3 linked regions of the Lonchura striata genome follow. The protein of the gene in region 1 interacts with the protein of each later gene in a pairwise test. Links are inferred from orthologs where the notes say so. Each region holds a gene or a part of one and is shown on either strand. Other genes may lie near its edges.

The links.
Region 2: the proteins of TMEM43 (region 1) and SIAH1 interact in binary tests that used the Homo sapiens proteins (3 or more experiments, as listed by UniProt). The two-hybrid records come from large-scale screens. The link is inferred for Lonchura striata from reciprocal best matches to the Homo sapiens genes TMEM43 and SIAH1.
Region 3: the proteins of TMEM43 (region 1) and GRAMD2B interact in binary tests that used the Homo sapiens proteins (3 or more experiments, as listed by UniProt). The two-hybrid records come from large-scale screens. The link is inferred for Lonchura striata from reciprocal best matches to the Homo sapiens genes TMEM43 and GRAMD2B.

What each region holds. Positions count from the first base shown.
Region 1 is NC_134614.1:14,600,834-14,607,729, reverse strand, and holds the start of TMEM43 (transmembrane protein 43), read right to left. Parts: upstream 3,007-6,896; 5' UTR 2,879-3,006; coding exon 2,867-2,878; intron 1,697-2,866; coding exon 1,544-1,696; intron 578-1,543; coding exon 443-577; intron 1-442. Other genes in the region: CHCHD4 (mitochondrial intermembrane space import and assembly protein 40), read left to right, coding at 3,212-3,233, 4,963-5,061. UniProt on the Homo sapiens protein: May have an important role in maintaining nuclear envelope structure by organizing protein complexes at the inner nuclear membrane. Required for retaining emerin at the inner nuclear membrane.
Region 2 is NC_134615.1:10,448,266-10,455,537, forward strand, and holds the start of SIAH1 (E3 ubiquitin-protein ligase SIAH1), read right to left. Parts: upstream 3,021-7,272; 5' UTR 2,968-3,020; coding exon 2,877-2,967; intron 1-2,876. UniProt on the Homo sapiens protein: E3 ubiquitin-protein ligase that mediates ubiquitination and subsequent proteasomal degradation of target proteins.
Region 3 is NC_134642.1:60,727,027-60,734,566, forward strand, and holds the start of GRAMD2B (GRAM domain-containing protein 2B), read right to left. Parts: upstream 3,021-7,540; 5' UTR 2,947-3,020; coding exon 2,822-2,946; intron 1-2,821.

The DNA.
Region 1 (6,896 bases):
CAGTGTTTAAACCAGGAGATTCTGTTTTGCTGGAAGGTGCTGTGTTACCTTCTGCAATGTGAGTGGACCATGGAAAATGTCACCATTACTGAAAAGTAAAAAATTGCAGAGCTCCTGTGCTGCAAGACCCTGAACACTTAACAATATCATGAACACACAACAGGTTCCCTACAAAAATGGCAATTGAAATTATCCATAAAAGGCAGCTTGAGGGTAAACACAGCTAGAGCTGGCATTGGCTTGAAGAAGGGAGTGCAAGGCCATTCAGCATCTCCCTGGTTCCAGCCCAAGAACCAGAGCTTGAGTGGTAGCTACCAATGCATAGAGGAGGAGAAAAGCCATGTGTCTTTTCCTGGATATCAAACAAAACTTTGAATGGCAAAGACTTTTCCTTCCCTCCAAGCTTGAAATACTCATATCTTCAAGATACTATTTTATTTACCTTAGATGTACTCAGAGCTCCAGCCAAGTGCACCAGTCTCCCCTCATTCTGCTGAGAGATACTGAGGATGCTGTCAAGAGGGACCACAAGAGAAAGCCCCTCATCGAGAGACTTGGCTGTCCTTAAAGCTCGTCCCTGCAATGAAGAAAAGAGAAATCAAGTTGTGGAGAATCAATGTCACAGCAGCATTTTGTGAACAAGATTAGCAGCATCACAAGAACTGATGACCACAAGGAATCCTTGTATATTCAGCCCAAGGCATATTTTTCAAACACACTTGTACTTCTCTATTCTCTGTCTGAGCCAGTTTGGGGCAGTACTTCTCACTCAGGCAGTGGGACCATTAACATTGACTAAGCTTCTCAAACAGACTCAAATTCTTCCTACACAGGTCTAAACTTACTGCTCTGCACTTCTTACCTTGTTCATCATTCCTCAGTAACTGCAAAAATGATATAAATTATAGTTCATTTTCTACACACCTATATTGACTCCTTGGCAGAAGTTTTCCCTGCTTATCATCATATCCTGATGGGCTTTTTTTCTGCAAAGTCATCAAAATTTGAAGCAGTTATTATTCCTCTTGTAGAGGTATGAAAAGAAGTCTCTACATGAAAACCCACAGAATTCTGATCTCCACTCCAAAATTGCCAAAACAAGTATGTTTTCAATGGTAGGGTGTTAAGATTCCTGGATGACTTTTTTTTTTTTAAAACCTCAAACCAAGAAATAATACTGAGAAACTCTGTATTATTTCTGAGAACTCCTCTAATTTTGCAACATGGGGTATGAATTTCTTTAAAGTAATTATAACACCACTAGAAATTAGGACCTTTTGTTATCTCAAGAAAAAAGAGGGCGGGCTCACACAACCCTCTTACCACAGGCTGTTTCATCACCAGTTTACAAGCTTTGGATGTTATTTCTCATCACACACTGCTACTGTCTCTACCATACCTATTTTCAGAGAAATACTACCTGTGGCCTGTGATTTCACTTTTCTGTTACATCCCAAGCATATACACAAGGTCCCCAGACAAAATCTCCTCTTCTCAAAGATCAATTAATGCTGTGTACAAACACTGACAGTATTGCACTTACTTCATTGGTAAAAAGAAGGTAGAAAGCCAGAAGAAATGTCACAAGTCCAATCAACATGCCTCCAGAAGTCTCACTGAGTCGCTCCAGGAACCCTGGTTTGCGCTCACTTGTGATTTTAACATGCTCTTTTCTGCTGCCTGTGTCAGAGAACTGCTGAAAATAAACAAAAGTGCCATATTGGTGTGAAAGGGGAAAGCATTCCGTTTCAAAACAAGTCTGCTAGCTTTGTTAGCACTGCTGCACTACAGAGAACCTCTTGCCTTGGACCAAAACTTGCCGACACTTATAAAATGCCTTAGCACGCTTTTAATACCAGAAACACATTCGATAAATAAGACTCCATCCTGGTAGAAAAAAACCGCAATTTCTATTATAGTGGTTCTACATGTTCAAGCTGTCTTCGGTCTGCCTCCAGGTTCTGTATTTGGAGTCCACGCCCTACATTCATGCCATGACAAATTGAGTAATAGCCCTAAATTCCTGACCAGCTAAAACACTGCTATAAATAACAAATTATGATTCACCTCACCAGTAAAAAGTGTGCCTGCACACTCTAAAATAATTATATCCAGGTTAACAATAACTCAAAACAAGGCACAGGACTAACATGAGAGCCCAGGGGTTTTTCTGTGCACACGCAGCTTGTGAGGAGCTACCAAATCCCACTGCAGCACACTCACACAGCCAAAGCAGGGCACGGAACTTCTCTGTATGGAAAAACACACTACGAAAAGCCAGTGGCCATAAAGGAGAAAGAGAACTCCTGTAACTTTATTCGAATAAAGGCAGTCCAATAGAGTCCAATGGGGCACACAGCCGCGGAGTTTTCTCGAGGTTTCGGGGGGTGCAGCCTCCTTTCATCCTAAACTCCTGGCTGCTCGCTGCCTCTTCCTTTCCCCATCGGCTCCTCGGAAGGTGGACAGAACCTTCCCGAACCGGCTTCCACATATCCCCCTCCTTGAACCCACTGTTTTACCTCAAGGTTCAGAAGTTCAGGTCTGTGGAGACCCACTTTCTGTTCCACGAGTTAGGCTGTGTGGGCTCTGTAACAAACCTGCTGCCCAAAGTTCACAAACTCAGGCTTGTGCAGATCCCCTTCCTGTGTCAGGAGCCAAGCCGCCTCAGCTCGGCAACCAGCCTGCTGCCCAAAGTCAGTAGCGACGCGAAGACCCATTTCAAAGGCATTAACACCCATACTTTCAGCCATGGAATTATTTGCAAAGACATTAGCACACATCTTCCCTCTCATCTAAAGACGGCACCGGGCCGTGGCCGCAGCCCTGGCACACCGGGGGCGAACGGGCCGGAGCGAGCAGCACTTACGTTCCTCGACATCCTGAGCCTCTCACGCCCCCCGGGAACCACAGCTCAGGGGCCGCCGGAGCCGCGCACCGCCAGCCGCGCCCTCAGCCGCTCCCGCCCCTCCTTCCTCCTTCCCTTCCCGCCTCCCTCTCTCTCCGCCCTGCGGCCGCGGGGCAGGCGGAGCCCCGCGGCCGCAGGAGGTGCGTCACGGCCGCCGCGGGGCCGGGAAGGCGCTTCCGGAGGCGGGAGGTCGCGGCGTGGAGCGGCGGCGCGGCGCTGCCCGAGCGGTGCCGGCGGGACGGCAGGAGCGGAGCGGCGGGGCCCGCGTGCGGCGCGCTGCGGAGGAAGGCACCGGCCGGCTCCGCCATGTCCTACTGCAGGCAGGAAGGTGCGCCCGAGCGTCCTCCCAATGTCACCCCGCCGGGGGTGGGTGCGCCGCGGGGGGACCGTCCGCTGCCCGCAGCCCGCCAGGGGAAGGCGCAGCCGGAGGGGAGAGGAGGCGCGGCGGCCGCCCGCGGTCCGCGTGTAGCGGCGGCAGCGCCTCGCCTCCCGCCGCCGACCTTTCTCCTCACGGAGGGCGGCGGGGCCGTGGGGCGGCAGCGCGGTCCCGGCCGTGTGGGCGCGGTGAGGGCACGGTGAGGGCACGGTGGGGGTACGGTGAGGGCACGGTGAGGCCCCGCAGCGGCCGGAGGTGCCCGCCGAGACCGCGTGTGGCCTCAGGGCGGCTCCCGGCCGCGGGGCGCCTGCTGCCCGCCGGGGTTACATTTATCCCAGCCTGGCTGAGCGGCCAGAGCTGTGGGGTTTTGCCTTTTTAAGGTCGATGGGCAGGGTGGGTGTAGTGCGAGCGATTCTGTATCGTGTTGTACAGGTGGTGGTGTTTAACCACTTCTTAAAGTGGGAGATGCGTAGATAAGTATCTATATCTACTTATATATAAATAAAAATCCTTGCTCTCCTAAGTAATGCCAAGTGGCTGAATGTAAAGTTTCAGGATGAGGAAAAAAGCACCAATAGTTCTAAATGCCATTCGTAAGTTACAAACTTGGCCACAGACTATAAACTGTATCGAGGTGGTCATAACTTATGGACCTCTTTTATGCTTTATGCTGTGCTTTGTTTAGTTTTGCAATATCTGTAAGTTGCTTTATGCAACCCTACAAAATTGCAGTGACAGGGTTAGAGTTCATGTGTTTTCTCTCTCCTTTTATATAAGAAATGACCAAACGTTCCACATTGTACTCCAGCAAACTTTACCATGCAGATTTGTAAGAAAATTGTTACCATTTTTTTAAAAGGTCTTAGATTTTTCTGTTTTTCAGATATGTTTAAATGCATGGTTACTCAGCAAGGTTAAGTTACTGAACATCTGCTGGCTGAGGTCACACTGAGGGGCCAGAAGATTCTAATTTCTCATATGTCAAGTTACTGTAGTGGCCTTTATGAATTTGGAGAATTCTTGGGGAGTTTACCATTTTTTCCACTCTCAGAGTGTGTGTTAGAGCTTTGCAAGGTTGTTAGAAAACTAAAACTACTGAAGTTTCCAGCCAAGCCTCCCCCGACCCCACTATGGAATGTTTTAGTTAAATCAAGAGCAGGAAATTTGCTCTGTTGCATTTCCATCCCTTGTAACGTTCACAACACTTTTCAATGTAGTTAGCTCTATATGGTGACGGCTGTCTTCTGTTTTTAATTCATATGATTAGTTTAAAATATTATACTGGTCTTTAGCAAAGAGTGCTGTTATTAATAAGTACCTATTGAATGCTTTACTGCTATTATAGGGTTTTTTTTTCCACTTCTAAACCTGTCATCTGTTTTAGTCCTTGTCTTGGAGCAATTTGAGTTTGTTTTGAAACAGCTTTTTAAATTTGCAGTTCAGTGGAGTCTACTGTTCATTACAGGACATTGCTATGAAAATTGGAGCTTTAGAATAACAGAATTTCAGTGTGTATGTGTTCCTCTGGACTAGCAACTGTTGTCATTGAAGGTAATTGTTAAATACAACAGTTCATTCTCAATATTGGTGAGTCACATTGTGGTGTTCAGCAGTTTTGTAAATAAATCTTTTTCCATCTCAGATTTCTCTGAACTGTTGTTTCTTGTCTCCTCCATGGCAGGAAAAGACAGAATAATATTTGCAACCAAGGAGGACCATGAGACACCGAGCAGTGCTGAGCTGGTTGCAGATGACCCAGATGACCCTTACGAAGAGCAAGGTCAGTAGTGAGCTGAAGAACAGAAGTAAGGGGTGTTACATCATATATAAATCCAACAGAAAACAATCCCTGCACGAATTAGGAAAACTTAAGCATATTTAAAGCCTGAGGGCAGCTGGTTATGCAGAAAATACCCAAACTCTTAGCAGTTTTAACTGCGAGGTTAGGACATCACTAATGATACGCTTTATTCCAGTATTTTGTCTTCTACACTTGTGATTTTTCTTAGTACCTGTTCAAATAAGTTGATGGCTTTTAGTTTTGGTTAGTGGCCAGGGATATGCAGGGATACCTTTTCCTTTTATTAATAATGTTAGAGCCTAATCAAGTGAAAATTATGATTGTTTTTCCTGTTTTAAGTAACAGTGTGCAATTTTTAGAGAAACTAGGGAAGTTTTATATCACTGTCATTGAAGTGAGTTGCTCACCTGCCTGTGAGCAGTTGGAATTGCCTACTATGGCAATGTCTGAATATCTGATTTAATATAAATTAATATCTGGCTAATCTATACTATACTGGTAGCAATATAATCAATATCTTTCAGTGCCACATGACGGGTAAGTTAAAATTACTGAGTTTTCAGCTGCTATCATTGTGCCTTGAAAATGCAAAAGTTTTAATGAAGATTACAGTTCTTGTCTGAAGCATATCTAACCTGAAAATAGAGATTTAAGAGAGCAGAATAGTTCTGAGACCAAGATTTACAATATTCTGGTTGTGTATTTTAAATAATGGGTACATGAAATATATTTCCTGTAATGATTATTTAATAACTTTTGCCCTGGGTTAATGATTATCATGGAAATGTGAGTTTAGGTTAATTTTTTCTAATTGCCTGTATGTTTACAGACCTTTTGGTCTCTTCACTTTGTGGGAAGGGATTTCATTGGTTTCAGCTGAACTGAAGCTGAAGTAAATTCTTCAGACTCTTTGAACCTTAGTTAGAAAGTGAAAGTTATGCTTTCTAAAGTGTCTCAGAGACCTTTAGAGGGCAGCATTTAAGCAGTTTAGCAGCTGGAGCTCACAGGGTTTCTGTTAGCTGATATGGTGTGTAGTGTAATTTGAACCATACCTTCCTCTGTCATTTAGATTAACTTTTTTCGTACTTAGACTTGTGTTGAAATGTTACTGCATTATCTGCCTATTTTGGTTTCATTTGAGCTGTATGTAGTCAGTTATATATCCAAGTGTTTTTCTCACCTGCACTGATAAGTCTGTTGATGTCCTGGTGTGACATACTTTTGGGTAATAAACTAGTCAAAATTAAAAAAAAAACCACTTTATTTTTGTTTAAATGCCATATAATTCATTGCTCTTACGTGTATTCTGGTGGACATGGAAAGGCTGTGGTGAGGAGGAGAGGTGATGGGCTTTGTTTCCTGCAGTCCTGCATTTACAGAATGTTAGGTCACTTTCTTCCTCAACAATAGATAAAGAAGAAAGGGGAAAAGCCAGGAGGTTTTTATGTCACCTTACAGTGACAGTATGTGTCTGGGGTTTCAAAATGAGAAATATGTTTAAGTACTGTCAAAAAGTTTGGGTGGGAATTTCTTATTGTGTGATTTTCTTAGTTTGTTGAGTTTTATTCTTAGTATGTGGTACATTACTGCCGTGTTTTTAAGTCTGAAAAACCTCTTGAATGATGCAGGGCTACAGTGCATTAGATCAGAAGAGAGAAAATGGACCAATCCCAGAATGTAGCAGTAGGGAGTGAAGCTTATGGGCAGGAAAGACATGGGTAAAATGGTTTGAAATATGTTGAAATGCTGAAGCTCTGGCATGCATTGCTTTTATTTAAAAGAAAATTGGGAAGGGTTTTGCTGTACCTAGTGTA
Region 2 (7,272 bases), on another chromosome or scaffold:
AAAGCAAAATCCCCCCAATGTAATACAAACTGCGTATGTGCTATGTGTAGATCGATACAGACACTCCCGTGACATGGAAACTTAACAAGTGAAGGACTTCTGCTCATTGTTCGGAAGAGGCATTTAGCTACTGGAAGCTGCAAGACAGGGGAGTAAAAACATGCTAAAAATTTAATACTGCATTTATGAAATGCTTCACACCCAGATCACTTGTGTGTACCAACTCTGTGTATGGAACAATTCTAAGCTGCCGTGTAAGAGAAACAAGGCTTTAATGAAAAAAACTATCTTCTGGATGTGACCTTCTCAGTACTCATACTTACAGTGTAATTTTTTAAGAAGTTGAAAAACACAGCTCAGACAATTACTACTCTGCTTTTTTGCAGGATAGGACAGTGACTCTTCATTTTCACTACTCTACTATTGAGGCCCATGGCTTGTAAAGCACAGCCACTGCTTCAGCTTCCTTAACAAAACCATTTGTGACGATACCAGAAAAAAAAACCCACAGCAATTACTTTATTTAATTTCCCAACTAAGACTAAAAATTCGAACTTCACTTGTTAAATTTGAGTATTCATTTTACCATGTAAATACTCAGACATTTTCAGTCCCTCTTGATGAAGTTCTATATTCAGTGGAGCTCCCACTGAAGTTCTGTCCTCTCTAATGTCCCCCGACAAAGGTGACAGCTGTCTGACCTAACAGCTTACTCGAACATTCCACAGATGTGGAACAAGTACTGACCACATTTTGTAACACATTGTGTTTTCCTGCACTCCTAACTCTCCTCCTTCTTGTACAAAAGACATTACTAGCGCTATCTGAAAAAATAAACCATACCTTTGTAGGTAAAGGGCAGTTAAATAAAATGCTATCCAAAATTGGCTTCTGTTATAGAGTACAATTCTCAGCCACACTAAGTGCCTCTCTGCGAGTACAACCAGCTCTGGATCTGTCACGTACGTATAAAGCTCTCAAAATAAACCTCATCTTTAATCTCCTTGCTATTTGACATGGGAATATTAGGCAATAGGCAAGCTTCCCATATTTAGCATCATTTCACCACAAACTTACTCATACTTGGACCAGACAGCTCAGAGCAACATACTGTGCATGCTTTTGCAAGACATGCACTGTTCAAAAACACCAAGCAGAAGAACTAAGAGATTCCTACTTGCAAAATGACTTAAGTCCTTGACATTTAGAAAGTAACGAGAGACAGACAAGTCCAAATTACTCTACAGAAGTACCTCTCCCCAGAGCTAGAAAAGTATGAGTGTCTAAGATATGATTCTCAGACACTGATTTTATGAGTCTCATGTGTCCCATTGACAGCATCTTCCTAACCCACCAAATTCTCTTCCTCCATCTCAGTCTTGGTGGTTTAGAAGTACCTTGAGAAAAACACCCATGCAGCAGTTTTCAGTGCTGGGCCATAACTGATCCTGTAGAGCTATGACAAGAATGCTTGTGTCTTTTGGCTGTATCTTCCCACTGTGAGGCATTCCAACTTAGATGAGAAGTTCAGGGTGTCTGTGACAAATCAAGCATGTGTCCTGGAGAAGTGATGCTGCACCAGGGAGGGGACTCTGCCAGCTGTACTGCTCTATGTCCCAGCAGCTGCAGGTCTGTGCTCCAGAACAAACCACTGGGCACAAGAGAACCAATGCTGATCACACCTGTTCGCTTGGGAGGAGCTTAGAAACAACATATTCACATGTAAAATTCTGGAAGTGTTTCCCTTCAAATACTGCAAACACACACATTTCAGAAAAGTCTGTGCTGTGCTTCCTCTTGCCTGACCCTGTAGATCCTGATCCAGGGATCCTCCATAACCTGCAGATAAGGCAGGTGAAAACCACTGTGTCAGACCAGTTCCCTGGGCAGCCTGACAAGCTGGGTGAGCTCTGCCGTCTTTAATTACACCTCGCTGAGCCCATGCAACAGTTAAATGAAGCAACCTACAAACTTTGCAAAAGAGCTTGTGCACGGATGCACTTCCCACTTGAGCTTTCTAAGGTATGGAAGAGAACAGAACTATGTTACCACTGCTCCTGTGTGAGCAGCCTTCACACACCTTCCACAACACTCACAGGAGCAGGGAATGGAAAGGAACAGGGAATGGAAGGAGCAGCAACTGGGAACAAGGAGCAATCTCTGAACCAGCCCACTGAGATCAGCATGCAGGAAAGACACTGCATAAGGCTACAAACTGTAATTCACCAAGCCTAAACCTGCCCAAAGCCTACATTTTCATCACTCTTGTTAACACAAAGATGAATAATACATCTTTTATGGCTATCTCAAAAGTTACAAGTTAATCACAAGCAAAAGTTTTAACAGTGTAATACATTTAACCCACCAAACCATGAAAATCATACAATTACAAACCAAGGAAAAACAGCTACAGAACTGGAGATAAAGTTTAAAGACATTTTTAGTTACAAACCCCTTACTACAGGTAAAAACACTTATATGCAATATTTGCTATTTCATTATCTTTATTTGCACACATTAGGAACAAGTTTCTAAGCAACAGTGACAAACTAAGGAACAGTAAGGTGTCATTTTCAAGAGTATTAGCTCCTTTAACTCCAATTACCAAAAACACTGTGCATATTAAAAAAAAAAAGAAAAATTACCCAACAGTAAGAGTGAAAAGGGGAGAACACATCTTAAGATTTCCTAGCTCTAAATCAAGCAAAGCAGCTCTTGGTAACATCTAGAAGGCACCTGTTGCTAAAAGGACTCTCGACACTGTTCTGGGAAAGGCGACATGCACAGGTTACCGACACCTCCCGCGGAACACAATTTAACAGCTCCTGCAAGCCCGGCTTCAAATACTGCGCATAAGGCAATTTAAAGGGCGCTACCTTTCCCCTTGCAGGTTTTACTCCCCGGCAAGCACGCAGACCAGACGCCCTTCCAGGAGTACGGCCCGCTGGAGGCAGATCTGCCCGTCATGGGGCGCGGAGGAGCTCATGGCGTGTCCGCGCAGCACGGGCGGGCTGGGGCCGCGGGCCGGGCGGCGACCGCGCCGAACGCCCCCGCGACGGCCGCGGGGCCCCGCGCCGCGCCCGGATCCGCCGCCCCGGCCGGTGCCGCCGCCCCCGTGCGCGGCCGCGCTCCGGCCCCGCGCCCCAAAATGGTTCCCCGAGCTTCCCCCGGCGCGGCCGGCGCGGGACGGCCCCGCCCCGCCCCGCCCCGCCCGCCACCGCCTCCGGGGGAGGACGCGCCTCGGCCCCGCCCGCGGCCCCGGGAGCCGGCCCCGGGAGCCGCCCGCCCCACGCGGCCCCGCCCCGCACGGCCCCGGGAGCCGGACCGCCCCACACGGCCCCGCCCCACACGGCCCCGGGAGCCGGCCCCGCCCCACACGGCCCCGCCCCACACGGCCCCGGGAGCCGGCCCCGCCCCACACGGCCCCGCCCCACACGGCCCCGGGAGCCGGCCCCGCCCCACACGGCCCCGCCCCACACGGCCCCGGGAGCCGGCCCGCCCCACACGGCCCCGCCCCACACGGCCCCGGGAGCGGCCCCGCCCGCCCCACGGCTCCCCAGGGCCGCCCGCCCGCGGCCCGGCCGTGCCTCACACGTGCGCACGGAGAAAGCCCTCTGCTTCCCCCGAAATAACTCCCCGGCAAAAGCTACAGCTTCCGTTCAAAACTCTTCTAACACATGAAAATCACTTCCTCCTATTTCAAGGATATTCCTCAGATGAGCACTTTTCACTGTGGATCTATAAATTCCTATTCAACAGGAATTTTCTCCATCTGTATAAGTATTGCTCAATGAAGCAAAAGCATAATCTCAAGGAGAAGAGATAACCAACAGAACTAAAACAATGTGGCATATTTGATTATCTACTTGGAGTATTAAAAAAAATTAGAACAGGTAAAAGGATAAAGTTAGAAGCCAAGTCAACACACTTGCGTGAAGCACATGCTTTGCTCAGAAAAGCTTAGACATTATGGAACGCTGATGTAATGATGGTAAGATCATGGAAGTATAAGTTGCAGTGGAGGCAACAGAACAAAACACACTGAGATAAACTGTTGTCACATAAAAAGCAAGGCTATGAAATCTGAGTAAAGATAATTATCTTTAAAGTGCTTTCCTCCTATTTCAAATCCAAGTCCTTTTCAAGAAGACTTGTATCAGCACTGTAATACCTGCAAATAATGCCCAACTGCTATAAAAACAATCTACCCACTCAATACAAGGCTTCCTTCAGTCTCGCCCGAAAACCTGCAATCTACAGCATCCCACCAGGTAAGAGTCAAGGAAGTTTACAAGCAGAACAGAGAAGCTGAATAAAAACTGCATAAAAACAGCTTTTGAGAAGCTAATAGCGCGTTGTGAGGTGCGCGAAACGTGTCCCAGGCTGCCCCCCGTGTGGTCCCCAGAGCCACCCTCCGGCCCCTGGCCACGGTACAGCTGCTGCTGCCCGTGTGCTTTGCTGGCTGCGCAGTGCCCCGGGGACAAAGCCTTTGGGACCCGGACACAGAACCGAAATCCTGTACGAAAAGCAAGGCACAACCAAACCACTGGTTAAAAAGCTCTGCTGGGGCGCAGGCACACAGAAAGTAGTTTGAAGACATTGAAAAAGATTGTGTGCCTCACGTGCCTGGGCATTATTAATGGCAAATAGACTGATACTCTTCCAGCTTCTCACCTTACCAAGGTGTTAGCTCCAGACCCATTCTAAAAATCACATTTGTGCTTCACTGGAATACAAGGTACCTCTGACAAATTCAACTTAGCATCATCCACTTCTCTCATATCAAAAAGCACATCTTCTTTCATATCCTCACCCATATCAAATAGATTAGACTTGAATTTAGCATTTTAGCTAGCTTTTGAAAGGGTAACTGAATATTAGTTTGAGGAAAAAAAATACACAAAAGCTCTCTATAGTCATCTTAATGGTTGGAAGGGAAAAAGTCCCATATAAGAGTAATAAACACAAAAAATTTATCACAATTGTCTGTATGTGATGCAACAACATATATTTTTCTATAACATTTAAAAACCGAGTTCAGGAACTTCCATTTAAAATGCACTCTTAATTCATTATAGCCACCAACAAAGTAATAGAAAATCTTTCATCTTTTTAAACAGTGTAATCATATTTGAATAAGACTTTTTCACACACAGTACTATTAAGAGAGAACAGGATGAAGTTGTGAAAAACACTGACAAGTTACTTTTTTCAAGATGTGACACAAACCAAAGAATGTTAAGACCCAAAATCTAAATGAAAGGCTGAAAATGCTCATTAAACATAATACCTATCAGAGAAAAGCTTGCCAATATTTTTTAAGAAACTAGTATTTTTATTTAATTTCAAAGATATGTTAGGGTGCAAGGTTTTGCCTTTTGCAGTCTATCAGCTCTTGGGAGATGTTAGATCCCAAGGGCCTGGCACGGTTAGGATCAAATGCAGGCCTGGACAGACATGTGCACCTCTGCTCAGACACAGCCTCTGGATCTGCTGGCCTACTTCACAATTTTTAGAACACAGTTCATGACATAAATTATTAATCAACTATATAATACAATTTAATCTCTATCCACTCTGGTTTTGACTAATGAATTAGGATTTTTTTCAATCCTTCCAGACACTCTTTTCTTTGGTGCCCTTAACTATGCTATTTGTTATTTCAAGACACCTCAGGGTTCTCTTTTCCTCCATAACAAGCAAAAGCTAGATCAATCCAATGTAACAGAATATTATAAAACAAGACCAAAATAAATATACAAAACTGAGTCAAGACTCTTGATGATTTCCTTTGCCAAAATGTCATCAGTCCAATTCATCTCTTTTTCATACACAATTAGACCATTTCCTGCTACCTTGTAGTGACCCACTCTGCCTGAAACTGCAGGCAGCTTTTTTCTTGCACCTCAAGACATTCCCTACCAACCCCATTTTCCAACCACCACGAAGGGAAATCCCAACAGATTTATATAACCATGGAATTGTCTTTGTGGCCAGCACTGCAGGGAGCCTCCAGCCCCTGACACCCCACATTTCTGATGTTCTCTCGTGTTCTCTCACGGCCCCCAATGGAGCCATGGCAGTCCCTGTCCAGACCTTCTCCAAGTTCACCACACCCCACATGGCAGATGCAGACACAAACACAGCCATGGAAACACCAACAGCATTGTTCCACCCACCAAATCAGAGTGACCTATTTCTAACTCAGCACAAAACCCAGACTTTGGTCAGGGCTGTTTGATTTCTCCCTCCTCGCCATCACTCACTATTTCTTCTGTGGAGATATGCTGGAATATTCAGCATCAGCCCAGGAGAGGTTTTTCCCTAGCTGCTAAAGATTTTCTTTCCAACAACTTTATAAGGTTAAGATTAGGAAGGAACAGTATCCTGTAGAAGACATACAATAAGCACATCAAAATCAAATCACACTAGTAACCAACTACTATTGACTGAAGTGTTCAATTTTAAATGCAACAAAGAAATTTATCAGTTCCAACAAGTGAATAACCTGTTCTCCAGTCCAACAGAGTTTCAACATCCACCTTTGCACAGAATACTGCATCCCATGCTGCTATGGTACTCCAGCCTTGGGAAGGAAGACAAGCTGAGGAACAAAGCTCTGCAAAAAAACTGATAAATCCCCCAGTTTCATTCAGAAGGAAAACTAAAAGTGTCTGATCAAGAGCCAAAACATGAGTTTGGACCACTCACTCTGTACTCTATAGGTGGAGAATATGCCAGCTTTCCCAACTTACATATAGAATTAAATTTAAAAGTAGATTTCCTTGTAAATTCAGACCCTCCTACAAATCATAAAGCAAAACAGGATGTTTATCTCTTCTGTTTTTTGAGCTTGGAAGGAAAGGAAGGAGGACAGAAAGCAAAAGCTACAGGAAATATCAAAGAAATTCCAGAAAATTTAAGCAATATTAAAAACAACTAATCAAATGCCACCGTGAACAAAGAAAATGTAGTAATATATTAAATAAATTGATATAAGCAACAAAATAAAAATTATTTATATTTGGTAATCTAATGTAATAAAAGAGTTAAGCAACAAACTAGCTAGTGAAACTATATTCAGCTAAACAAAAATACAGGGAAAAAACACTCTTTAAATACAAATCAAAACCAAACACTTGCATTAAAAATATCATGGACCACTTCCACATTGGAATTGAACATATTTTTCCTTTTTAAAAACAAGCAAATGACTTGTCTTGCTGTGACACCGCCAAATCCCACCTAGCAGAAAAACACTGCTCCAAGCTG
Region 3 (7,540 bases), on another chromosome or scaffold:
GTGTATTGTAGTGCACCAAATGAGCTGCCAGGTCCGGACTGGAGTCAAGAACCCTTTTGATTTCCATTTTGATGAGATATTTAGAAAACAAACCTCTCTATGTTCTGTAATTTTAAAAACATTGTTCTGTACTTAAAAAAAAATTATTTGTAACTTTCACCTAATATCAATGTTACTGCCAAATGCTGATTTTTAAAAATCATTTAATATATTACCTGCAATGCAATTATTGCTAAGATTGGCCTAAACATACGTAGCATTATGACTGCACAGAATTGGTGGTCTAAATTGCTGGTCTAAAAAACAAATTTTCTTGTGTTCAATATGTTTGGGGTTTTTGTTTTTTTTTTTAGGGTCACTCAGGAGATTATTCAAAATCAAAAGCCTTAAGAGTTTTCTAAATTTTAGGAGAACTGGATACAAGTATTGACTCATATCATAGGGATGGGCTCCAGATGGGAGCTTGAAATCCCTGGTATTTTTGCCCATATTTTGTTCTGATGTCAGAACAACTCTGTACATTCATGCTGAAAAAATGCTGCAAAACATGTGGCCAGTACTTTTATAAATACAAATTTCTGATTGATAATATATGGCTGACACCTCAGCTTTAGCTCCAGAGTCTTAATTTCCTTTTGAAATCAGTTTTGCTCTATGTCAGGAATAACATGCTGCCATAATGATAAGCTTTCCCCTTTATGAAGTGTTAATAACTCCCTGATTTCTGCTAAATTCCTACTCATCCACGTGCCAATTACAGTGAGGTGAAAACAGAAGTATGTAAAAACTTAGGCATATAGTCAGTTTTTCTCCTCAGGCATGAATAATTAGAATAAACAAGAAGGATCATTAATATAGTAAATTTTCTCTGTGGGTAAATCTTCATATATAGAAAATATGCTCCAAATAAATAAGACTGTATGAAAATAGTACCTAAAAATGCAGATCCTGCATTTACTTTTTGCAAAAGCATTTTCCATGATTTTTAATGGGGCTCATTTTCAATAAATGTATCATGACTGTGACAAACACATGAAAAGCAAGTTTAGTGAGAGCTTAGTCTGTCTAGCTTATTGTGTGCTATTGTGCATCCTCCTTATTAGATTGTCTAATATTTGCAGCCTGCTACTCCATCTTTGCTATTGAGAGAGGTTTGGTTTCACAACAGGGTTTTATGATCATATTATCCTTACCGAACCAGCAAACTGTAAACTGGCTTTCTAGAAGGCCTGCTCCTACCACTGGATACTTGGCAGGCAGGTTGATTATTGAGAAATTGGGGGTAAAGGACTGTTCTTTGTAAGGCCTGATCACACTGCCCCCAGGGCATATATGGCAACTTTTTGTGTACTGGTTATTTAGTGGTAAATAAAAAAGTAGGTAGATCTGTCTGCTCAGTGTTCTGGACAGGGCATAGAAAGGAGGAAAAATTTATATTGTCCAAATTAGGAAGTGGTTAAAAATCACCAACTTGTGATTTTTAATGCCAAATATCACTGTATATACTTATGTCCCACACCTAATTGCAAAATGAGATCAAGAGGCATATGAAAAGTCATGTGAAATTGTTTTTTTTTAAAACAAGTTTGAAGTGATTATTTCTAGATAAGAGTCTTTGAAATCTCTAATTAAAACTTAAAATTTCCGATTCTCTATTATCTGTTCAAACTGTTGGACATTATCTCTCTGTCATTTGAGTTGGAAGAAAGGATGCTATGCATATATAATATTAAAAATCCCTAATAATATTTCAAAAGAGAAAAACTAGGCCAACAGTCTCCTTTATAGTAGTGACCCAATTAGTGATAAGATTTGTCATCCCATATAAAGAATTTGTGCACAGCCACAAAGAAACGTAATTCAGCCACACAAAGACTATGTAGAGGTTCCAAATCACTCTTCAGGGTTGTTTGGCACCATGCAACAATTAAGTACCAGCCCTTGGCAAAGAATTTTCAAGCAGATTAAGAACCAATAAATGTCTAACGATATTTTGAATAGCTTTTTAAGCTATTTTATTCATGATGGGTTGACAGAAGTACTGTGGATGTTTGCTTGTCTTGCTCCTGCAGTAGATGAAGGATAAGCACTAAGTGCCAGTAGCCCTCTGACATTGCCTTCCCTCATTTTTTGTGCTAAAATGTGCATGATTTCTCCAGAACTCTGTGTTGCAATGAATTCCACCATAGAGGGAATTTGCAATTCAAAAAGTCCACCCTTCCAAAGTAAGAAAACAGATTTTCCCCTATTTTTTTTTTTTTTTTTGCAATGTTCTATCAGGAAACCATTTACTAGTATTAATTTAGAAAGTTTTCTACTTCCTTGAATATTTCTAGTGAGTAAGGTGGCACTTACCTTGAAAATTAGTTTAATAAACATTATGAAGTTCCTTTAGGCCAAAACACATATGAAAATATTTTGTTAAACTCCCTGATCTAACAAAGTTTACATTTGTTTTGTACAGAAATAAAATATTATAGATATTTGGGTGACCCCATAAATGTCACTTTAAAACTTGAGTTTTGTTAGTGTATAGTGTTATAAACATTCAAAGCCCTATTTCAGTGTGAATAGATAAGGGAGAAGAGAACAATACCTTTCTGCCTTCCATCACAAGTTTCTCCTTTACAGGAGTGCTCCCCTTCCCAGTGCAATCAGTAATATACATGAAATTACCATCTCTGTGTGCATTTCCTTTTTATATTAAATACCTTATCTAGGTATTTTCATGAGTATACTTGTCCCAGTGCACTCCTCTGTTGCTGCCCTGTTCCCCCCATAATCAAGTACATGAAAAACACTCAAATATATTGGGTTTTACCTTAAAAATACTGATCCAACACTCTCCGTAGGACTGGCTGGGGTGTCAATACTTGATTTTCGGAAGCTGTTCTGACTTTCAGAAAGGAAAACGGAGTCCTCCAAGGAGCTTCCTTTTTTCAGCATTTTAATGGAGCTAACTGCAGACTTAGGTAAGTTCAATTCTAGAGTGATCTGTGAAAAACACAGCCTTTCTCTGCTGTAGGAAGTGCTGTCTTGGTGTGACTCCAGCTCAAACTGGGTTTAAAAATCAGTTAATGAGTAACGTAGTGTTCTGACATCATAAGGGAGTTTTCTTTTTTATCTGCAGCACTTCAGAAGTTTACTTGAGAACAACAGTCATATAAAATCTAGGTGAACTGTGTAATTGAAATTTCATTATACATAACAAGAACTTGTTTGGATTAATTGAGGAGTGTAAAACAAGAACTCTGTTTCAAATGATGTTTTGGTTTCAGGTTTGTACCTAAAACTAAAACATTTTTTGTCATAAATTACACTTTGTGATCTATCTAAGCATGCAAGTTTAAATAAGAAATTTGTATATGTTTAAGAAGTGACTATATGCACCTGTTGTGAACATGCTAAAATTATTATATTGCGCTTCTCCAGTGACAAGTTCATCCACATGTGTGCATGTAGCTGCTGTAAAAGTCAAATCATTGCAGTTCAGTTTAAATACAGGTCGTGTTTTAATTCTCAATGCACAGGAACCCAAACAGGACAAAACCAGTTGGTCTAACGAGTTTTTCCATAAAATGGCAAATATTAACTACAAATTCGCATGGTTTTCTGTTTGTTGAAGATTACTATAATGATTATGTTAGTGAGTGAAATAATCAGAAATCTTTCTTTATATTGCAAATCCTCTTATAGTGCTGATATAACATCCAAAGCATTTACAAATTCTGTTAAACTTCATCTTGGACCTGCACAGTAATGAAGATTTCTCTATAAGACTGACCCAAAATACACTCTTTCTGTTCTCAGCATCTACAAAAACCCTGTGAAACAGCACAAATTCATTTTGACTATTCACAGGTTTTATTTGTAAATGCAAAGACATCTAAGCAAACTGATGTATTTTTCTCTTTTAAAATGTCTTTTGTTTGTGGTTTCTTTCATAGCTAAATACCTAGACTTTTTTAAATACAAAATTTGCTTGTGATCAGTTAAGCAAATTGTAATGAAATCTATAAATGTGTGAAACAGTAACTATTGAAATACAGGATTTACATAATAGCTATGAAAGTTAAAAATTAAACAGCTGCTTTCTTGGAAGCAAAAATTCCAAATAAATGGGAGAAGACTTAATAAAAAAGAAAAAAAAAAAAAAAAGCTTTTCATCGTCTTTAAGTATTCCCCATAAAACCTGTACTTGTGCTGTATTTAAGCTACTTGGATTCTGAATTAATGCCTCTTTGAGTCACTATGCTGTAAATGTTTGATTTTCTCCTAAATAGGCCTTTTTGTTATTCTGCACTTGATCCTGTGTGATCATAGGCTGTAAACACAGGGCTTCTTAACTAGGCAAAGTCTCTCTACATTATTACTCTTCCATAAAACAAGTGGTACAACCTTCAACAAATCAAAAGCTTTTTCTTTCTCTAATCACAAGAAGAATTTGCTTTGGCTCTGTTGTGTTGTTCATATCTATTCACTTAGGATAGGAAGTCTATTCTTTTAAAAGAAAGAAACATTCTTAAAACTGTTCAGAAAACACATGTGATGTAGTGAGCTTGTAAACCATCAATATGACTTATTTATCTTTGAAAGCAGTCTATTTGTACATTAAAATGTAATGAAACCCCTTCATTAAGAATCAGAATGGCAACTATGTTCTTTCTCTATGTTAAAGAGCAGGTACAGTGAGAGGGCAATTGAATTTTTCCCTAAATGAGTAATTGCAGGAACATTCTTGGCAAGGAAAAACTATGGCATGATTCCTTCCTCCAATTTTATGCATCTTTGCTGTTCTACAAAACAGTCAAGTTTTGCAGTTTTGTACAGGCTACTGTGCCTGCTTGTAAACTACTTTTTTTCCATCCTATACCACAATAGTAAGTGATAAGTGTATGTAAGTATGTAAGGCTTTTCAGCCTGCAATTATATGGCTACTTGCATATGCCTGTACTGAAGGGCTTCTAGGTTTGCCATGCTACTGCAATGCTAACCAGGTCAAGGACTAGGCTGGGGAGTTAATGCTCCTGCCTACAGCTGGTGTTACTGAACTAGTTTAGGTCAGCTCAGGTCTGACATAGAAGCACAGAATCATGTGAATCAAGTCCATCCATAAATCTAACACTGACAATTCCACCTCAGGAGCTTTGTTGCAGTGATAATCAGTGTTATATATGGCTATGTGAAGAAAAACAGATTTGTGTGACAGCGCCCTGAGACTCTCATGGCTCTTGCTTATTAAGAGGTCTTATCTGTCTTGTATGTTGCAGCAGTAGCTCCCTGGATTGATGAAAAGAAGAGGAGTAGGCCTACAAGATGCATTTCTAGTGGGAACAGAAAGGTACAGTGATGGTCATGCTGTCACCTTATGCTCAAGAGATGATTTTCTCTCCTTATTATCAGGCCCACACAAACTGAGTTTGCTATGGATTTCTAGGGTGTCTGCACAACTGTGATCTTGAGCTGTTTTGGAGATTGTTTTAGGGCTGAAAAATAGTAGATAGTTGTAGTTAGGAGGCCAGAAGGGCTGACCTGATGGTGTCTGTATAAATTATAAGACTTGGATTCATGCAATTTTTATTCTGTGTGGATCTAAGATGTATTATAATCTTTGGGATTGCTCTATTTTGATGCAAGGATATGAAAACCATGTAGTTTATAACCACTAGGCAAATTTAAAAGCAGTTAGCACTCCATGTCTTTCTGATACGCATAAATATTTTCAGGGGAGGTCTAGATACCCACAGAAATGTCATCAATAGAGATGTGGGGCAGATACAGGATTTTTTGTAGCTGCTCACTTCAGACTTCTTAGCAGTAGTTAACAGACACCAGTATCTTTTCTCTTTCTGATGTGATGGATCAGGTGTGGGAAGAAGTTGATACTCCTGATGGTGAGGCTATCTGCTGTACATGGACTTGTCCCCAGAGAATTGTTCTTCATGTTCTGAAGAAACTGGTAGCTCAGTAGCTTGTAAGCTTGAGTAAAATTTTTTGCTCTGTCTCTTGCTGTCTCATACAATGAAAACAACTTTCCCCCTTCATTTCTTCAGTTTCTCTTACTTTAACCTACTTTTCTTAAATTCCATATTTATATTTGGCCAAATGTATCCTTATTTTTCTCAATTATCAAACTATGCCCTTTAGTTCTGACCTTTGTTACTGACACTCTGTTATCACTTATCTGCTAGACTGTATCTTATGGAGTCTAGAACTGTTGCAATTATTTCTGATAGGCAAGCAGAGAGGGAAGAAATGTGGCTGGTGTCCTTGAACTTCATGCAATTTTATTTTCAGTCTGCAGCAATTGTCACTTAAAGGTTAGAAATTAAAGGTCTGGAAAAATGTACACTTTTCTTTTTTCTCATTACTACTGTGGGGTTTTTGTTTGTTTGTTTGTTTGTTTGGGTTTTTCCATTAAAATAAAGTTAATTACTTCAGGAAAAGAAATGGTAGATTATTTTTGCTTTCTCAGTCACTGGAGTATTTGTTCTGATGACAGGGATATTCAGAAATACGTTAACAATGCCAGTTGTGTTACACACATTTTAAGTACTTTTGCCTTTATTAATGGTCTCATGTTATGGAATAGGAAGAATAATGTGGTGAAATCTGAGTATTCAGAGCAAGAGGGTTCATTTATGCTAGGAAGGACTTTGTGCCTTGTGATAGGTGACTGCTAAGAAGCTGCCTAAATATTTCAAGTTGAAGTGATGATACAGGGAGATGCTGTTAGACAGAGTTTGTATGACGTCAGGAAGCATATTTTGAACAAAACATTCATTTTTATTACCATCCAGGAATGAACCAAATGAGCATTAAACCAGCTGCTGAACTTACGGCTGAAGGTCATACTAGTGACTTGAGGTGGCTGTGAATGTTATGTACAATCTTATGCAAGCTTACATCTTGGCTGGAATGTGGCCACAAAAGCTTGTAGATTTTTTCGTAAGGAGTGGGGGAATCAATGACTGGTCATTTTATCAGTTTGTTTTGAGTCTCAAAATTTACTGGCCTTTAAATTGGATTGCATAATTAGTCTGTTATGATCCCTAGAATAATGGGGAGCTGAGTTCTTGCTTTATGGGTTTAGCTCTCATAATTTTCGTTTTCTGAGGTATATGCAGAATCAGATGCTCTGATTTGGACCCCACATTGTCTTTCATAGTTAGGACTGTGTCATTTTTTTTCCTGCTTGAACAAAGTCTATTCAGAAATTAATATTTTTTTTCCTCTTAACTGGACATGTGAAAAGTGCACCTTTCCACAAATAGAGAAAGAAATATGAGTCACATGTTGGTCACTCTAAAATCAGCTTGGACATTTTTAGGTAAGTTTTATATCTAGTTTCCAATATTCTGTTCCTTTTTCTGATCTTAGATTTCTTGGTTTTCCTCTTGAACTGAGATTTAATCTGTTCTAGTCTGTGCTTTATTTGCAATAGTGAGATACATTCAGTTTGTATGTAGTGAGTTTTCAGTTGTGCCTGTTTCTGCTTGAATTTATATGAATGCTGTGTTGAGTATGTGAGATGCTACAG